Anolis sagrei: one gene and its partner. The protein of the gene in region 1 purifies or fractionates together with the protein of each later gene. This does not show direct contact. Links are inferred from orthologs where the notes say so. Each region holds a gene or a part of one and is shown on either strand. Other genes may lie near its edges.

Region 1 (7,498 bases):
CGGGAAGTAGCAGCCAATAGCGAAAGGACCAAGGCAGAGACATCTTCAGCTCACCCTTTGTTTGGGTATCAGCCAGCACGTCAACAACTTAAATCAAGACATAGTTTTCTTAGATCTACAGAGACACTCGCTGGAACACCTCAGCAAGCGAGAGTCCAAAAGTGGCAGGCCCAAACCCAGCACCTCAATCCGTGGGTGATACCAGATGAGAGACTCCCCCCTGGGCACACAGAAGACTGGGCGACTTGGAAGGCACTCAACAGACTGCACTCTGGCACCACAAGATGCAGAGCCAATCTTAAGAAATGGGGCTACAAAGTGGAATCCACGACATGCGAGTGCGGAGAAGAACAAACCACTGACCACCTGCTGCAATGCAACATGAGCCCTGCCACATGCACAATGGAGGACCTTCTTGCGGCAACACCAGAGGCACTCCAAGTGGCCAGATACTGGTCGAAGGACATTTAACCAACTACCAAGTTGGCAAAATCTGTGTTTTGTTTTTTTAAAAAATCTGTTTGTTTTGTTCTGTTAGAAATGTAATACAATGGTATGGTTGCTGATGACATGATAAATAAATATCGGACACTGCAGAGCCCCCGGTGGCGCAATGGGTTAAACCCCATGTGCCGGCAGGACTGAAGACCGACAGGTCGCAGGTTTGAATCCGGGGAGAGGTGGATGAGCTCCCTCTGTCAGCTCCAGCTCCTCATGCGAGGACATGAGAGAAGCCTCCCACAAGGATGATAAAACATCAAATCATCTGGGCGTCCCCTGGGCAACGTCCTTGCAGACGGCCAATACTCTCACACCAGACGCGACTTGCAGATTCTCAAGTTGCTTCTGACACGTGACACACGATCAGACACTGCAAAGGCTATTCCTCAGGACCCAGATATCTAGCACAACAGAAATCTTTTGGTCAGGCTGCAAGGTAGGTTTTTCTGGGAGTGGCACTGCAGAATTTCATTACTGTAGTTAAGCTGACAATGCAAGACCTTGACATATGTGTTCAGACTGAGATTTGTGACTGCTTAATCAGCAATGACTTCTTAGCAAAGATCAGCAAACCGAACAAGCTTGCTGAGACACAAATGTATCCAAATGATAATGCATTACGATAATGCAAAGAAGCTTGCCACGTCTTCAACTTGACTTCCGTACAAATATATAAACATAGCTATCATGCCCCCTTTCAGCCTTCTTTCCTCTGCAAATCTGATAAGCATGCCTTCTATTTTGTCATCCAAGTCATTGGTAAATACGTGGAACAGCACTGGGCCCAGGACAGACCCTTGTGGCACCCCACTGCTCACTTGGGCCAGTTATTATTATTTCGTATCAAAAGCATTGCATAAATTAGTATATAACCAATAAAAATAGAAGGAGCACAGGTGGCTAAATATCTTTTGACCAAAAACAGGCAACAATATGGCCTCTAACAAGTCTTCCTCTGTACATGAGGCAGGGCATAGTGGACAAGCATAAAGGTGCGGAGTTGTCTGTTCTGCTCCACAGCCACATAAGGTGTGGGATTCTTTTAGGTAGTGCCACTTGGGGCAATATATTCAAATGACAGGAAAGGAAATTCCACTTGAACATTAGGAAGAACTTCCTGACTGTGAGAGCTGTTCAACAGTGGAACTCTCTGCCTCAGAGTGTGGCGGAAGCTTATTCTTCGGAGGCTTTTAAACAGAAGCTGGGTGGCCATTTGTCGGGGCTGCTTTGATTGTTCTTTTCCTGCCTGGCAGGGAGTTGGACTAGATGGCCCATGTGGCCTCTTCCAATTCTATGATTCTATCTATCGATCTCGCTCTCTGGAGGCCTTTAAACAGGGGCTGGATGGCCATCTGTCAGGGTGCTCTGATGGTGTTTGTCCTGGCTGGCAGGATGCTTTGATGGTGTTTTTCCTGCCTGGCAGGGCGTTGGACTAGATGGCCCACATGGCCTCTTCCAACTCTAAGATTCTATCAATCGATCTCCTTCTCTGGAGGCCTTCAAACAGAGGCTGGATGGCCATCTGTCAGGGGTGCTTTGATGGTGCTTTTCCTGCCTGGCAGGGGGTTGCACTAGATGGCCCACGTGGCCTCTTCCAACTCTAAGATTCTATCTATCGATCCCCTTTTCTAAAGGCCTCTTCCAACTCTATCGCTCTCCTTCTCTGGAAGCCTTTAAACAGAGGTTAGATGGCCATCTGTCGGGGTTGCTTTGATGGTGTTTTTCCTGCCTGACAGGGGGTTGGATTAGATAGCCCACATGATCTCTTCCAACTCTATAATTCTATCAATTGATCTCCTTCTCTGGAGGCCTTTAAACAGAAGCTGGATGGCCATCTGTCAGGGGTGCTTTGATGGTGCTTTTCCTGCCTGACAGGGTGTTGGACAGATTGGTCCACATGGTCTCTTCCAACTCTATGATTCTATCTATCAATGTCCTTCTCTGGAGGCCTTTAAATAGAGGCTGGATGGCCATCTGTCGGGGGTGCTTTGATGGTGTTTTTCCTGCCTGGCAGGGGGTTGCACTAGATGGCCCACGTGGCCTCTTCCAACTCTATAATTCTATCAATTGATCTCCTTCTCTGGAGGCCTTTAAATAGAGGCTGGATGGCCATCTGTTGGGGCTGCTCTGATTGTGCTTTTCCTGCCTGGCAGAGGTTTGGACTGGATGGCCTTTGGGGTGCCTTCTAACTGGGGCCAGACCTCAACCAGAAACCCCTGCTTCGGGGTCTGTGAGCCCTGTATTTCCTCCTCCGCCCCACTGCCCTCCAGAGACTCCTTTGGAGGCCCACCCTCTCCCCCTTCCTGAGGCCCAGCGACCCTTCCCTCCCCCTCGGCGCATGCTCACCTCCTCCATCTCGAGGGCGGCTGCGGAATAAAGGAGCAAAAGCCAGCCTCCTCGCGCCGCTCTCGAGCTTGCCTCGCGCGCCGTCACTGCCAATGACGTCACTGTCCTCCTGACCTCCCAGCCAATAGGGAAGGCGCGCTCTGGCCGGAAACGACCAAAGCTGGGCTGGCAAGAGGCTTGTTGCCTGCCGGATTTCCGGGTTTGTGCCGGGGAAGCTGAAAGTTTCAGTGGAGGGGTCGATAGTTCTCCCTTCTGTTTCCTGAGGTATTTCCCTTGAGTTTTCCGTATCCCAAGCATTTCACAGAGTAGGCCTGCAAGAGAGTTGTCTCTAAATACAGATATAGGCAGGCCCCAAGTGAGGAACAAGAGGAAGGAGTGGAGAGAGCATGAAGCTCCCACAAGGCCGCTTTCCTCCCAAAGACGCCTCTCTTCTCAGCTTTCTTTTACCATTGCAAGTCATACAGAATGTACACAGTTTGTTCTTAAGTTGAATTTGTTTGTAAGTCGGAACAGGTACATTTTATGTATAATTCCAGCCTAATATATATATAGTACCCGCCACGCATTGCTGTGGCCAACCTCCCCTCCCTCTTTCTCTCCTCCCTTCCCTCCTTCCTTTCCTCTTTGTCTTTCCCTATCTCTCATCTTTCTCTATCTTTCTTTCTTTCCTTCTTTCCCTCCCTACTTCTCGCCTTCCTTCCTTCCCTCTTTCCCTCCTTCTCTCGTTACTTCTTGATTGTCCCTTCCATTTAATATTGTATTTATATCTTACATAGAAAGAAGGAAAGGAAGAAGGAAGGAAGGAGAGACATGAAGGAAGGAAAAAGGGAGGGAGGGAGGGAGGGAAAGAAGGGAAGGAAGGAAAACAAGGAGGGACAGGGAGGGAGGAGAAGGAAGGAAGGAGGGGGATGAAGAAAGGAGGAAGGGAAGGAAATGAAGAAAGGGAAAGAAGAAGGAAAGGGGGGGGAGGAAAGGAAGGAGGAACAGGAAGGAAGGGAAGGAGGGAAAGAAGAAAAAGGAAGGGAGGAAAGAAGGGAAGGGAGGGAGAGAAGGAAGGTCCTTCATTCAAGCACTGTGGACCTTCCTCGCCTCCCCCCTCCTCCTCCCCTTCTTCCTTGCTTCGTTGCTGCTGCTGGCACTCATCTGCCATTTCCTCTTCCAACAGGGAAAGGAGGAGACTGCCTCCACCTCCTCCACTCCCTTGTGTGTGTGTGTGCATGTGGCTGTGCATGTGCGCCTGGCTTTAACGGCAGGCTGTTTCCCCATGAGGAAGAGGAGGGGGCGTGGCCATGGGTCTCTGTAGACATGCAGTTTCCCCTTTGTGGACATGCAGTTTAGATGTCCTTTCTGCTTTTCATTTCCGTTGTTTTTTTTTAGTGGAGAACATACATTGGGTTGTTAGGGACATAGTGTCCAAATTTGGTGTCAATTGCCGGAGTGGTTTCTGAGTTCTGTGAATAGCACAAACGAACATTACATTTTTATTTATATAAATTAGCTTTGGATAGCATAGTCATGCTACCCCTCTATTCTGCCTTGGTTAGACCACACCTGGAATATTCTGTCCAGTTCTGGGCACCACAATTGAAGCGAGATATTGACAAGCTGGAATGTGTCCAGAGGAGGGCAACTAAAATGATCAAGGGTCTGGAGAACAAGCCCTATGAGGAGCGGCTTAAAGAGCTGGGCATGTTTAGCCTGAAGAAGAGAAGGTTGAGAGGAGACATGATAGCCATGCATAAATATGTGAGAGGAAATCATAGGGAGGAGGGAGCAAGCCCCTTCACTAGAAATGTTTAAAAAGAACCGTAAAACTTGGTTCTTCCGCTGCGCCTTTGGTGATTAGGTGCACACCACGACATTTTGCATCCCCCAACGTTTTTGCTACTGGAGCTCGCACCTCCAAATGGGATGTTTAGCCTCACAATTCTACGTATTTTATGAATCCCCCGTAATTGTCCTCCTCCTATTTTATTTTATTTCAGTCCTTTAATTGTTCTTATCCTGTACTAGCGGTCCCCTGCCACGCATTGCTGTGGCCCAGTCTGGTGATCTGGGAAAAAAGTAATGGGAAAGTGTTGGTTTCTAATATATGTAATTTCTTTCTGCTTGTGAGTAAACAGGATTTCTTGCTGTTTCTTTGCCAGTGTTGATGTGGAGATTGTTTGGTTTGCCTACTCTGGAACATGCAACATATCATTCTCCTTCTTTAGGGGTCCCTTTCAAATCTTTGATACTGAATCTGTCATATACATATATGTGTATGTGTGAATGGCTGGATGGCCCTTTGTCGGGAGGGCTGTGATTATGTTTTCTTGCCCTGGTGAAGGGAGTTGGACTGGATGGCCTTAAGGTAGCATTTCTCAATCTGGGAAGTCAAGACCCCGGGGGTCACCAGGGGGGTGTCAGAAGGTCACCAAAGATCACCAGAAAACACAGTAAGTTTGCCCCAATTCTGTCGTTGGTGGGGTTCAGAATGCCCCTTGATTGTAGGTGAACAATAAATCCCAGTAACTACAACTCCCAAATGTCAAGTTCTATTTCCCCCAAACTCCATCTGTGTTCACATTTGGGCATATTGAGTATTCCTGTCAAGTTTGGTCCAGATCCATCATTGTTGGAGTCCACAGTGTTCTCTGGATGGAGGTGAACTACAATTCCAAAATTCAAGGTCAATGCCCACCAAACCCTTTTGGTATTTTCTGTTGGTCATGGGAGTTCTGTGTACCAGGTTTGGTTCAATTCCATTGTTGGTGGAGTTCAGAATGCTCATTGATTATAGGTGAACTATAAATCCCAGCAACTACAACTCCAAAATGACAAAATCATAATTTTTGATTGATGGGCACTCCTTGTGTAGTGAGACATTTTGTTGTCAAATTTGGTGTGATTTCGTTCATTGGGCCTTTTGTTTTTAAGGTACTCATTATGTACAGAACATATATATATATATATATATATATATATATATATGCGGCCCGCCCATTGTTATCGTTATCGTGATTGTGTTTATTAGAATGTTATTTTATGACTGCATTTTTAATGTAATTTTGATGTTGTTGTTATTTGTTGTTTATGTTTTGATTTTATTGCTGTAATATGTTGTTCGGGCTTGGCCCCATGTAAGCCGCTCCGAGTCCCCACAGGGGAGATGGTGGCGGGGTATAAATAAAGATTATTATTATTATTATTATTATTATTATTATTATTATTATTATTTCCTGCTGCCCTGGAGACTAGGATGCGGAACAATGGCTTCAAACTACAAGAAAGGAGATTCCATCTGAACATTAGGAGGAACGTCCTGACTGTGGGAGCCGTTCAGCAGTGGAACTCTCTGCCCTGGAGTTTTGTAGAGGCTCCTTCTTTGGAAGCTTTTAAACAGCAACTGGATGGCCAACTGTCGGGGGTGCTTTGAATGCAGTTTTTCTGCTTCTTGGCAGGGGGTTGGACTGGATGGCCCATGAGATCTTTTTCAACTGTATGATTCTATAGGGAAAGGTGAACACTAGGGATGTCTGATCCATTTAAAAATGTTTCAAAAGTTATTACAAAACTGGGAGGTGCTAGCATTTCATTTCTAAAGTGTTTCTAAAGTACAATTAGTGGAAAAATTCGTTACTATAACGAAATTTGGTTACAGTAATTGCGCATAAATTACTATAATTGGGAAAACTTCAGGGGCGCCTTTCGCCCTCATTTTTAAAGCTATCTTGTTCATAACTTGGGGACTGCCTATAACTAAAAGCAAGAGAACTGAGAACTGTACACTGTTATGTGTATGGTGATGGTGGGATGGGGGAGCAAAAGGTTGGGAATAATCAATGTAACGATGCAATTGTGTTTTTATTATAAAATAAATGAAAAAAATCTTAAGTCACAATTTTAAAAGGGAAATTACAGTTCTGGAGCTCTGAACCCGGTCACAACTGCACAGAGGTTCAGGAACAGGAAGTGATATTAACCTACCATTCAACACTGGACCCACATGAAATTAGTTGTATATCCTTAACCCTTTTTTCCACTTTCAGGTGTCCAATTATTTTTCCTGTTGTGATGAGAAAGCCGAGGATTTAAATGACATCCCTTAGAATGTTTTGCTTTCCTTTTGATAGTTAAAATGCAAGTATTGATTAGTTAAATATAAGCTAATATTCAGAATTGTGCATAGCACTTCAAAATGGTTTATTTGTTATCCATACATAAAAAATATTTGAGATGTTATTATTCATCCACGTATTGCAGATGGAGACAGGGCCAGCCCAATAGATTTTGCTACTTAAGAGCATCCATATAGTGCAAGACCTTTCCCATACAGTAACCAGGAAGTGTCAAACCTGCAGGTTTTACAAGCAGGTTTTACAACATATTATCAACCCACTATTGAGCAACCTTCCTATATCAAGTTTTCACTGGAAGATAATTTTCCCCATGTGACTTTGTCCATTGCCAAGTTTCTCTTGGAGGTATCCAATATAAGAAATCTTCCTGCTCCAGACTCAGGTGAAACTAGCCTTTGCATTAATCTGTATGTACATTCCCTAATGTATCTTCTTGTGAGGATCTTTGACAGTCAAGCTACTTGGGTCTGTAATAAGCTTGTAGTTGTCGAAATGGACCAAACATGCTAGGTGTTACTTGGACATCATAG
Region 2 (7,234 bases), on another chromosome or scaffold:
ATATGGCAGTGTGGAAAGGGTCTGAGGGCCCTTCCACACAGAAAATCCCACAAAATCTGCTCTGAACAGGATTATGAGTGCACACTGTCATATAATCCAGTTCAATGTAAGCCTCATGTAAGCCGCCCCGAGGCTCCCTGGGGGAGATGGAGCGGGGTATAAATAAAGCATTATTATTATTATTATTATTATTATTATTATTATGTGGATTTTATGTGGCAATGTGGAAGGGGTTAAAGCAGAAAATCCCACAAAATCCGCTCTGAACAGGATTATGAGTGCACACCGCCATATAATCTAGTTCAACGTGGATTTTATATGGCAGCGTGGAAGGGGTCTGAGGGTCCTTCCACACAGACATATAACCCGGAATATTAAAGCAGAAAGTCCCACAAAATCTGCTCTGATCAGGGATTATGAGTCCACACTGCCATATAATCCCCCTAGAGGGCTCCGGCCCAGTTTACCTGTCCAAACATATCTCCTTCTATGTCCCACCTCGGAGTCTAAGATCTTTGGGGGAGGCCCTACTCTCGGCCTCGCCTCTATCACAAGTGAGGCTGGTAGGGACGAGGGACAGGGCCTTCTCAGTGGTGGCCCCTCGCCTGTGGAACTCACTCCCTGGCGAAATTAGGTCATGAACATCCCTCCTCTCCTTTAGAAGGAAGCTGAAAACATGGATATGGGACCAGGCCTTTGGGTAATCTGGCAGACTGACAAGGTAATGACGACCAGAATTTGGAAAGGACTATGGTAATGCTGAATGGACTTACGGATACGTTGGCCACTAGATTGGCTTTTTAGTTGTTTATTTATTTATTTTATTTACGACATTTATATGCTGCCCTTCTCACCCCGAAGGGGACTCAGAGCGGCTTACAAGGTATATATACATACAGTATATTATTAACATAGTACAATATAAGTTTTAAATATTGCTATATTGCACTATATCAATTATACTGTAATATTATTAGTAATATTACATGTAAGATCAGTGTTTCTCAACCTGGGGATCGCGAAGGTGTGTCAGAGGGGTCGCCAAAGACCATCAAAAAACACAGTATTTTCTGTTAGTCATGGGGGTTCTGTGTGAGAACTTTGGCCCAATTCTATCATTGGTGGGGTTCAGAACACTCCTTGATTGTAGGTCAATTATAAATCCCAGCAAGCACAGCTCCCAAATTTCAAAGTCTATTTTCCCCAAACCCCATCAGTTTTCACATTTGGGCATATTGAGTATCTGTGCCAAGTCTGGTCCAGATCCATCACTGTTTGAGCCCACAGTGCTCTCTACATGTAGGCGAACTACAACTCCCAAACTCAAGGTCAATGGCCACCAAACACTTCCAGTATTTTCTGTTTGTCATGGGAGTTCTGTGTGCCAACTTTGGTTCAATTCCATTGTTGGTGAGGTTCAGAATGCTCTTTGTTCGCAGGTTAACTGTAAATCCCAGCAACTACATCTCCCAAATGACAAAATCAATCCCCCCGCCAACCCCACCAGGGTTCAAATTTGGGCATACCAGGTATTTGTGCCAAATTTGCTCCTGTGAATGAAAGTACATCCTGCAGATCATTATTTACATGGCAATTCATAATGTTAGGGTTATGACTGGGGGTCACCACAACATGAGGAATTAAGGGGTCGCGGCATTGGGAAGGTTGAGAACCACTGTGTAAGATAAATATATAATTGTTATTGTATTAATTGAATGTTTTAACTATTGTGGTTATTGTTGCTATGTATTTTATCTGTTGAATTGTTGGCATCGAATTGTGCCGGTTGTAAGCCACAATGAGTCCCCCCTAGGGGGCTGAGAAAGGTGGGGTAGAAGTGAGCGAAAATAAATAAATAAATAGTTCAATGTGGATTTGATATGGCAGTGTGGAAGGGCCCTTAGCCTGGTGGGGCCACTAATCTCATTTGACAGGGCAGGGAGGGCGCAAGGCCCCACTCCTTCTCTTTGCAGGCACTGAGCCCCATCTCCTGAGGCGGTACCTGCTCCACGGTGGCCGGGTCCATGCTTTCGATGCGAGCGGCGGCCGTTTCGTACTCGTCCTCGCTGTTGTAGCCAGCGCCGGCCTCGTCCTGCTCGGGGCTGTTGCCTCCGCCGCCGCCTCCTCCAGGCCCCGAGGGTCCCCCAAGGCCTCCTGCGGGCCCGCCGCGCCGCCGCCTCTTGCTGTGTCCAGGCCCCGAGCAGCAGCCCCCGCCTCCACCGCCTCGCGACTCGGCCACGCCGGGATCCAACAGGCCCGAGCCGTCCCCGCCGCCTCCACCACAGGGCCCCACGCCGGGGTTGGGCGGCGGCGGCGAGCCAGCGGCGGGGGGCAGCCCCCAACGAGGCGGCGGGGGTGGCGGCGAGGCTCGCGGCCTAGCTCCGCCGCGCTCCCCGGGCCCGCCGACGCCTCCGCCGCCGACGCCTACGCCGCTGGGGCCTCGAGGGTGGGAGTCCGCGCCGGAGCAGCCCCGCGGGTCCGGGCCCCCGACGCCGCCGGGTCCCCCAGGACCGCCCTGGCCGCCCCCTCGGGAGCCCGGCTGGTCCCTGTCTCCGTCGCCGGCGGCCGGGCAGGCCTTCTTCTTGGGCAGGATCGTCATGGCAACCGAGGGAGGGGGCAAGCAGAGGAGTCCCGAGCCGCGCGTGAGGGGCACAAGTCCCCGGATGGAGAGGCTAAGCAGTGACAGTTAACCCAAAGGCACTGGGGATGCAGGAGGAGGGGGTGAGGAAGGAAGGAAGGAAGGAAGTACCCGTATGGAAGGGAGTTTGGGGATTCCGGAGGAGAGGGGCGAAAGAGGCCCTCTCCCCTCCGCTGGGATGGAGAGCGGGGACCCGGATGGAGAGGCCCGGGACCCGGATGGAGGGCCCGCTGAGGAACCACTTCTTTGAGGAAGGGAAGGAATGCCCGGATGGCAGGCCCAATCACAACCGCATCGCGCCCCCCGCCAGGCGGGTCAAAAGAGGAAGCGGGCCCCGTCAGCCCCCAAGAGGCGCCGCTGTCCCTGCCGGACTTGCTTCCGCCAACTCTCGCCGCCACCGCCGCCGCCTCGTTCTTCCCTCACGACAGCTTTTCGGGCCTTGCGCGGCGTCCCGGCGGCGGCGGCGCCTACTACTCCACAGCTCCGGCCTAGTGTCAACATCAACACAGCCGGCCTCTGACCCCGGCGAACTCCACTTCCGTTTCCACGCCCCCCTTCCTCCTTAGCGACGGGGGAGGGCCCTGGCAACGGCGCCGCTCTCAAAGGCTGCTGCACGTGACTCCACGCTCAGTGGCTGAGCGGAGACGGAAGCCCCTCGCCGAGTGGCCAGCGGCGCTTGTCACTCAGGCGAGGCCCCGCCTCTTTTCTACATTCCCTCCTGCCACCCGATGCCATTGAAGGCAAGCGGCGGATTAGCATGCCGAAAGGGGCCTGGGAAGTGGATTCGAGGAGAGACGCTTCTCTGGTTTATGATTGGCTAATAGCGGAGGGCTGTTTCCGATTGGGTGAAAGCAATCCCTGGCGTTGATAGGCTGAGAGGCAGGTTCTTCGGGCTCCCTTCTGTACAGCCTCCCTCTGGTTTGAGGGCAAGCATTCAGATGCGGAGTGATTTGTTCTGCTCCACAAGGATTCTTGGGCAAATTTGGGGCCTTCAGGTGTTTTGGACTCCAATTCCCACAATTCCTCACAGTCTCAGCCTCTTTCCTTTCCCCCCTCTCCCAATTAAGGAAAAGGCCGCTTTTAAAAATCTATATTCTTCTCTCTTAATTTTTTAGCTAATATGTTATATGTAATATTTTTTATCTAATATGTTATATCTAGAAATAGTTTTCTAAGATCTACAGAGACACTCGCTGGAACACCTCAGCAAGCAAGAGTCCAAAAGTGGCAGGCTCAAACCCAGAACCTCAACCAATGGCTTTTTTTTTATCGTGTCATCGGCAACCATTGTATTACAATTCTAACAGAGCAAAACAAACACACAGATTAAAAAGAAAAAGGGGGGAAAAAAACACAGATTTTGCAAATTTGGTAGTTGATTAAATGTCCTTTGACCAGTATCTGGCCACTTGGAGTGCTTCCGGTGTTGCTGCAAGAAGGTCCTCCATTGTGCATGTGGCAGGGCTCAGGGTGCATTGCAGCAGGTGGTCAGTGGTTTGCTCTTCTCCACACTTGCATGCTGAGGATTCCACCCTGTAGCCCCATTTCTTAAGATTGGCTCTGCATCTCATGGTGCCAGAGCGCAGTCTGTTCAGCGCCTTCCAAGTCGCCCAGTCTTCTGAGTGCCCAGGGGGGAGTCTCTCATCTGGTATCACCCATGAATTGAGGTGCTGGGTTTGGGCCTGCCACTTTTGGACTCTCGCATTCTGGGGTGTTCCAGCGAGTGTCTCTGTAGATCTAAGAAAACTATGTCTTGATTTAAGTCATTGACGTGCTGGCTGATACCCAAACAGGGGATGAGCTGGAGATGTCTCTGCCTTGGTCCTTTCACTATTGGCTGATTCAACCAATGGCTGATACCAAATGAGAGACTCCCCTCTGGGCACACAGAGGACTAGGCGACTTGGAAGGCGCTGAACAGAATGCGCTCTGGCACCACAAGATGCAGAGCCAACCTTCAGAGATGGGGCTACAAAGTGGAATCCTCGACATGCGAGTGTGGAGAGGAGCAAACCACTGACCACCTGCTGCAATGCAACCTGAGCCCTGCCACATGCACAATGGAGGACCTTCTTGCAGCAACACCGGAAGCACTCCAAGTGGTCAGATACTGGTCAAAGGACATTTAATCAACTACCAAACTCACAAATTTTGTATTTTGTCTGTTTGTTTGCTTTGTTCTGTTAGAAATGTAATATAATTGACTGGTTGCCCTGACACGACAAATAAATCTGACAAATAAACATGAGGAAAGAAACTATATTGAGAGAATTTAGAGATATTAAACTCTCATGGTTCCATTGCTTACAGTTAGAGCAATGGTTCAAGAATTGGATAAAAAATAATGGGGAAGGTGGCAAATTCACGCAAGTTGAACAAATGATACAAAACGGAAGAGCTACGGGAAGATACCACAAGTTGAAAGGAATAACCAGCAAATTGTATAAGATAATAATTGATATTAAGGGGGGGAAAAAATAAAGGATGCAACATTAAGAGAGATATGGGAGGAAGACCTAGGGATTAGAATAAACGAAGTGGATTGGGTACAATTATGGGATCAAAGATATTTAAAGAATTTATCGATACATGTTAAAGAAAATTATTACAAATTGATGTGGAGCCCCCGGTGGCGAAGTGGGTTAAACCCCTGTGCCGGCAGGACTAAAGACCAACAGGTCGCAGGTTCGAAGAGGCGGTTCGAAGAGGCGAAGAGGGAGAGGCGGATGAGCTCCCTCTATCAGCTCCAGCCCCTCATGCGGGGACATGAGAGAAGCCTCCCAAAAGGATGATAAAAACATCAAATCATCCAGGCGTCCCCTGGGCAACGTCCTTGCAGACAGCCAATTCTCTCACACCAGAAGCGACTTGCAGTTTCTCAGGTCGTTCCTGACACGACAAAAAAACCCCCAACCTATTCAACTTGTATGCAGAACACATCATGCAATGTGCGGGGCTTGACGAATGCAAGGCTGGGGTGAAAATTGCTGGAAGAAACATTAACCTTATATATGCAGATGATACCACTTTGATGGCCAAAAGCAAGGAGGCGCTGAGGAACCTTCTAATCAAGGTGAAAGAAGAAAGCATAAAAGCTGAGTTGCAGTTAAACATCAAAAAAATCAAGATTATGGCAACGAGAATGATTGACAACTGGAAAATAGAGGGAGAAAACGTGGAGGCAGTGGCAGACTTTGTATTTCTAGGTGCAAAGATTACTGCAGATGCAGACTGCAGCCAGGAAATCAGGAGACGCTTACTTCTTGTGAGGAGAGCAATGGCCAATCTTGATAAAATAGTGAAGAGTAGAGACATCACACTGGCAACCAAGATCCGCATAGTTAAAGCAATGGCATTCCCCATAGTCACCTATGGATGTGAGACCATAGGGAGGGCTGAGTGAAGGAATATAGATGAATTGATCCAGTGTTCAATGTCTGAATCATTGTTATTTAAATCCTCTTTCCATATTTCTATTTCTTGTTTCAAATTATATCGAATTCCAACTAATCTCTTGTATATGAACCCCATCAGGCTTTTCTCCTTTTCTAGTTTCCACTTTAACATTTGATCAAAATCTGTTTCTGGGCCTTCCTTTTTCCTCCACGTCATGATTCTTTGTTTCAATCTATCCCAAAGGAGCCAGTTACATTGACCAAGTGCACCTACCTGCCTCCCCGGTCTCTGCAGAGCCACCAGAGCCATGCAGGCAGCAGCAGGCCAGGGAGGCAGGCCTTTCCCGCTGTGCCTCAGGCCAACGCACTTCAGGGGTCCCTGGCCTCCACTGGAAGTTAATATTTAATATTAATATTTTCAAAAACCCACAAAACAGCGAGTCTGCTAAAAGCGAACCGCAAAGTAGCGAGGGAATACTGTAGTTCCATTTTGCCAGGTTATCTTTTGATCTGTCCACGCCACTTCTGAGTCTGTCCAGGGACTTCCAAGTTGCCTGTTCTTATTTTGCCCTTGGACGAAGATCCTGGGATTTCCTGGTTTGGCTGCCCACAAGGATACTCTTGCTGTTGCTGGGGAAACATTTAGAGGAGTGGTGTTTCTTGTGAAACTTTTCCTTGGCCTTGAGGAGAAGACATTTGCTGTTGTGTCTGTCCCAAGCAGCAAACTGTCTTAGGCTAGGCCTGGGATGATCTAAATTTCCACCAGATAACAAAGTCTTTCGACTTTTGAAAAGCTGTAGTGTCCTCTTTATGGATTTGCATAGCCTTTAAGTGGGATGTTGTGGCACTTGATTTGACCCTACTGGGAAAAGGCTGATAACCATATTTTGTTATTTCTTTTGCAATTGGCAGCAACTTCCATTCTGGGGCTTTGGGGGTGGGGGGCAATGCCAGCTAGCTTATAAAGTCTTTCAACAGGTGTAGATTTGAGACATCCTGTGATTATTCTACATCAGTGGTTCTCAACCTGTGGGTCCCCAGATGTTTTTGGCCTTCAACTCCCAAAAATCCTAACAGCTGGTAAATTGGCTGGGATTTCTGGGAGTTGTAGGCCAAAACACCTGGGAACCCACAGGTTCAGAACAACTCATCAAGGCCTCCCATACATAAATCCATTCAAGATCTCTTTCCACTTCTGTCT

What was found.
Region 2: the proteins of CACYBP (region 1) and OTUD5 purify together in Homo sapiens (affinity purification with mass spectrometry; 4 studies listed by BioGRID and IntAct, with this or other methods). This does not show direct contact. The link is inferred for Anolis sagrei from reciprocal best matches to the Homo sapiens genes CACYBP and OTUD5.

What each region holds. Positions count from the first base shown.
Region 1 is NC_090024.1:129,682,178-129,689,675, forward strand, and holds the start of CACYBP (calcyclin-binding protein), read right to left. Parts: upstream 3,160-7,498; 5' UTR 3,145-3,159; coding exon 2,848-3,144; intron 1-2,847. UniProt on the Homo sapiens protein: May be involved in calcium-dependent ubiquitination and subsequent proteasomal degradation of target proteins. Probably serves as a molecular bridge in ubiquitin E3 complexes. Participates in the ubiquitin-mediated degradation of beta-catenin (CTNNB1).
Region 2 is NC_090022.1:178,619,856-178,627,089, forward strand, and holds the start of OTUD5 (OTU domain-containing protein 5), read right to left. Parts: upstream 3,193-7,234; 5' UTR 2,600-3,192; coding exon 2,003-2,599; intron 1-2,002. UniProt on the Homo sapiens protein: Deubiquitinating enzyme that functions as a negative regulator of the innate immune system. Has peptidase activity towards 'Lys-48'- and 'Lys-63'-linked polyubiquitin chains. Can also cleave 'Lys-11'-linked ubiquitin chains (in vitro).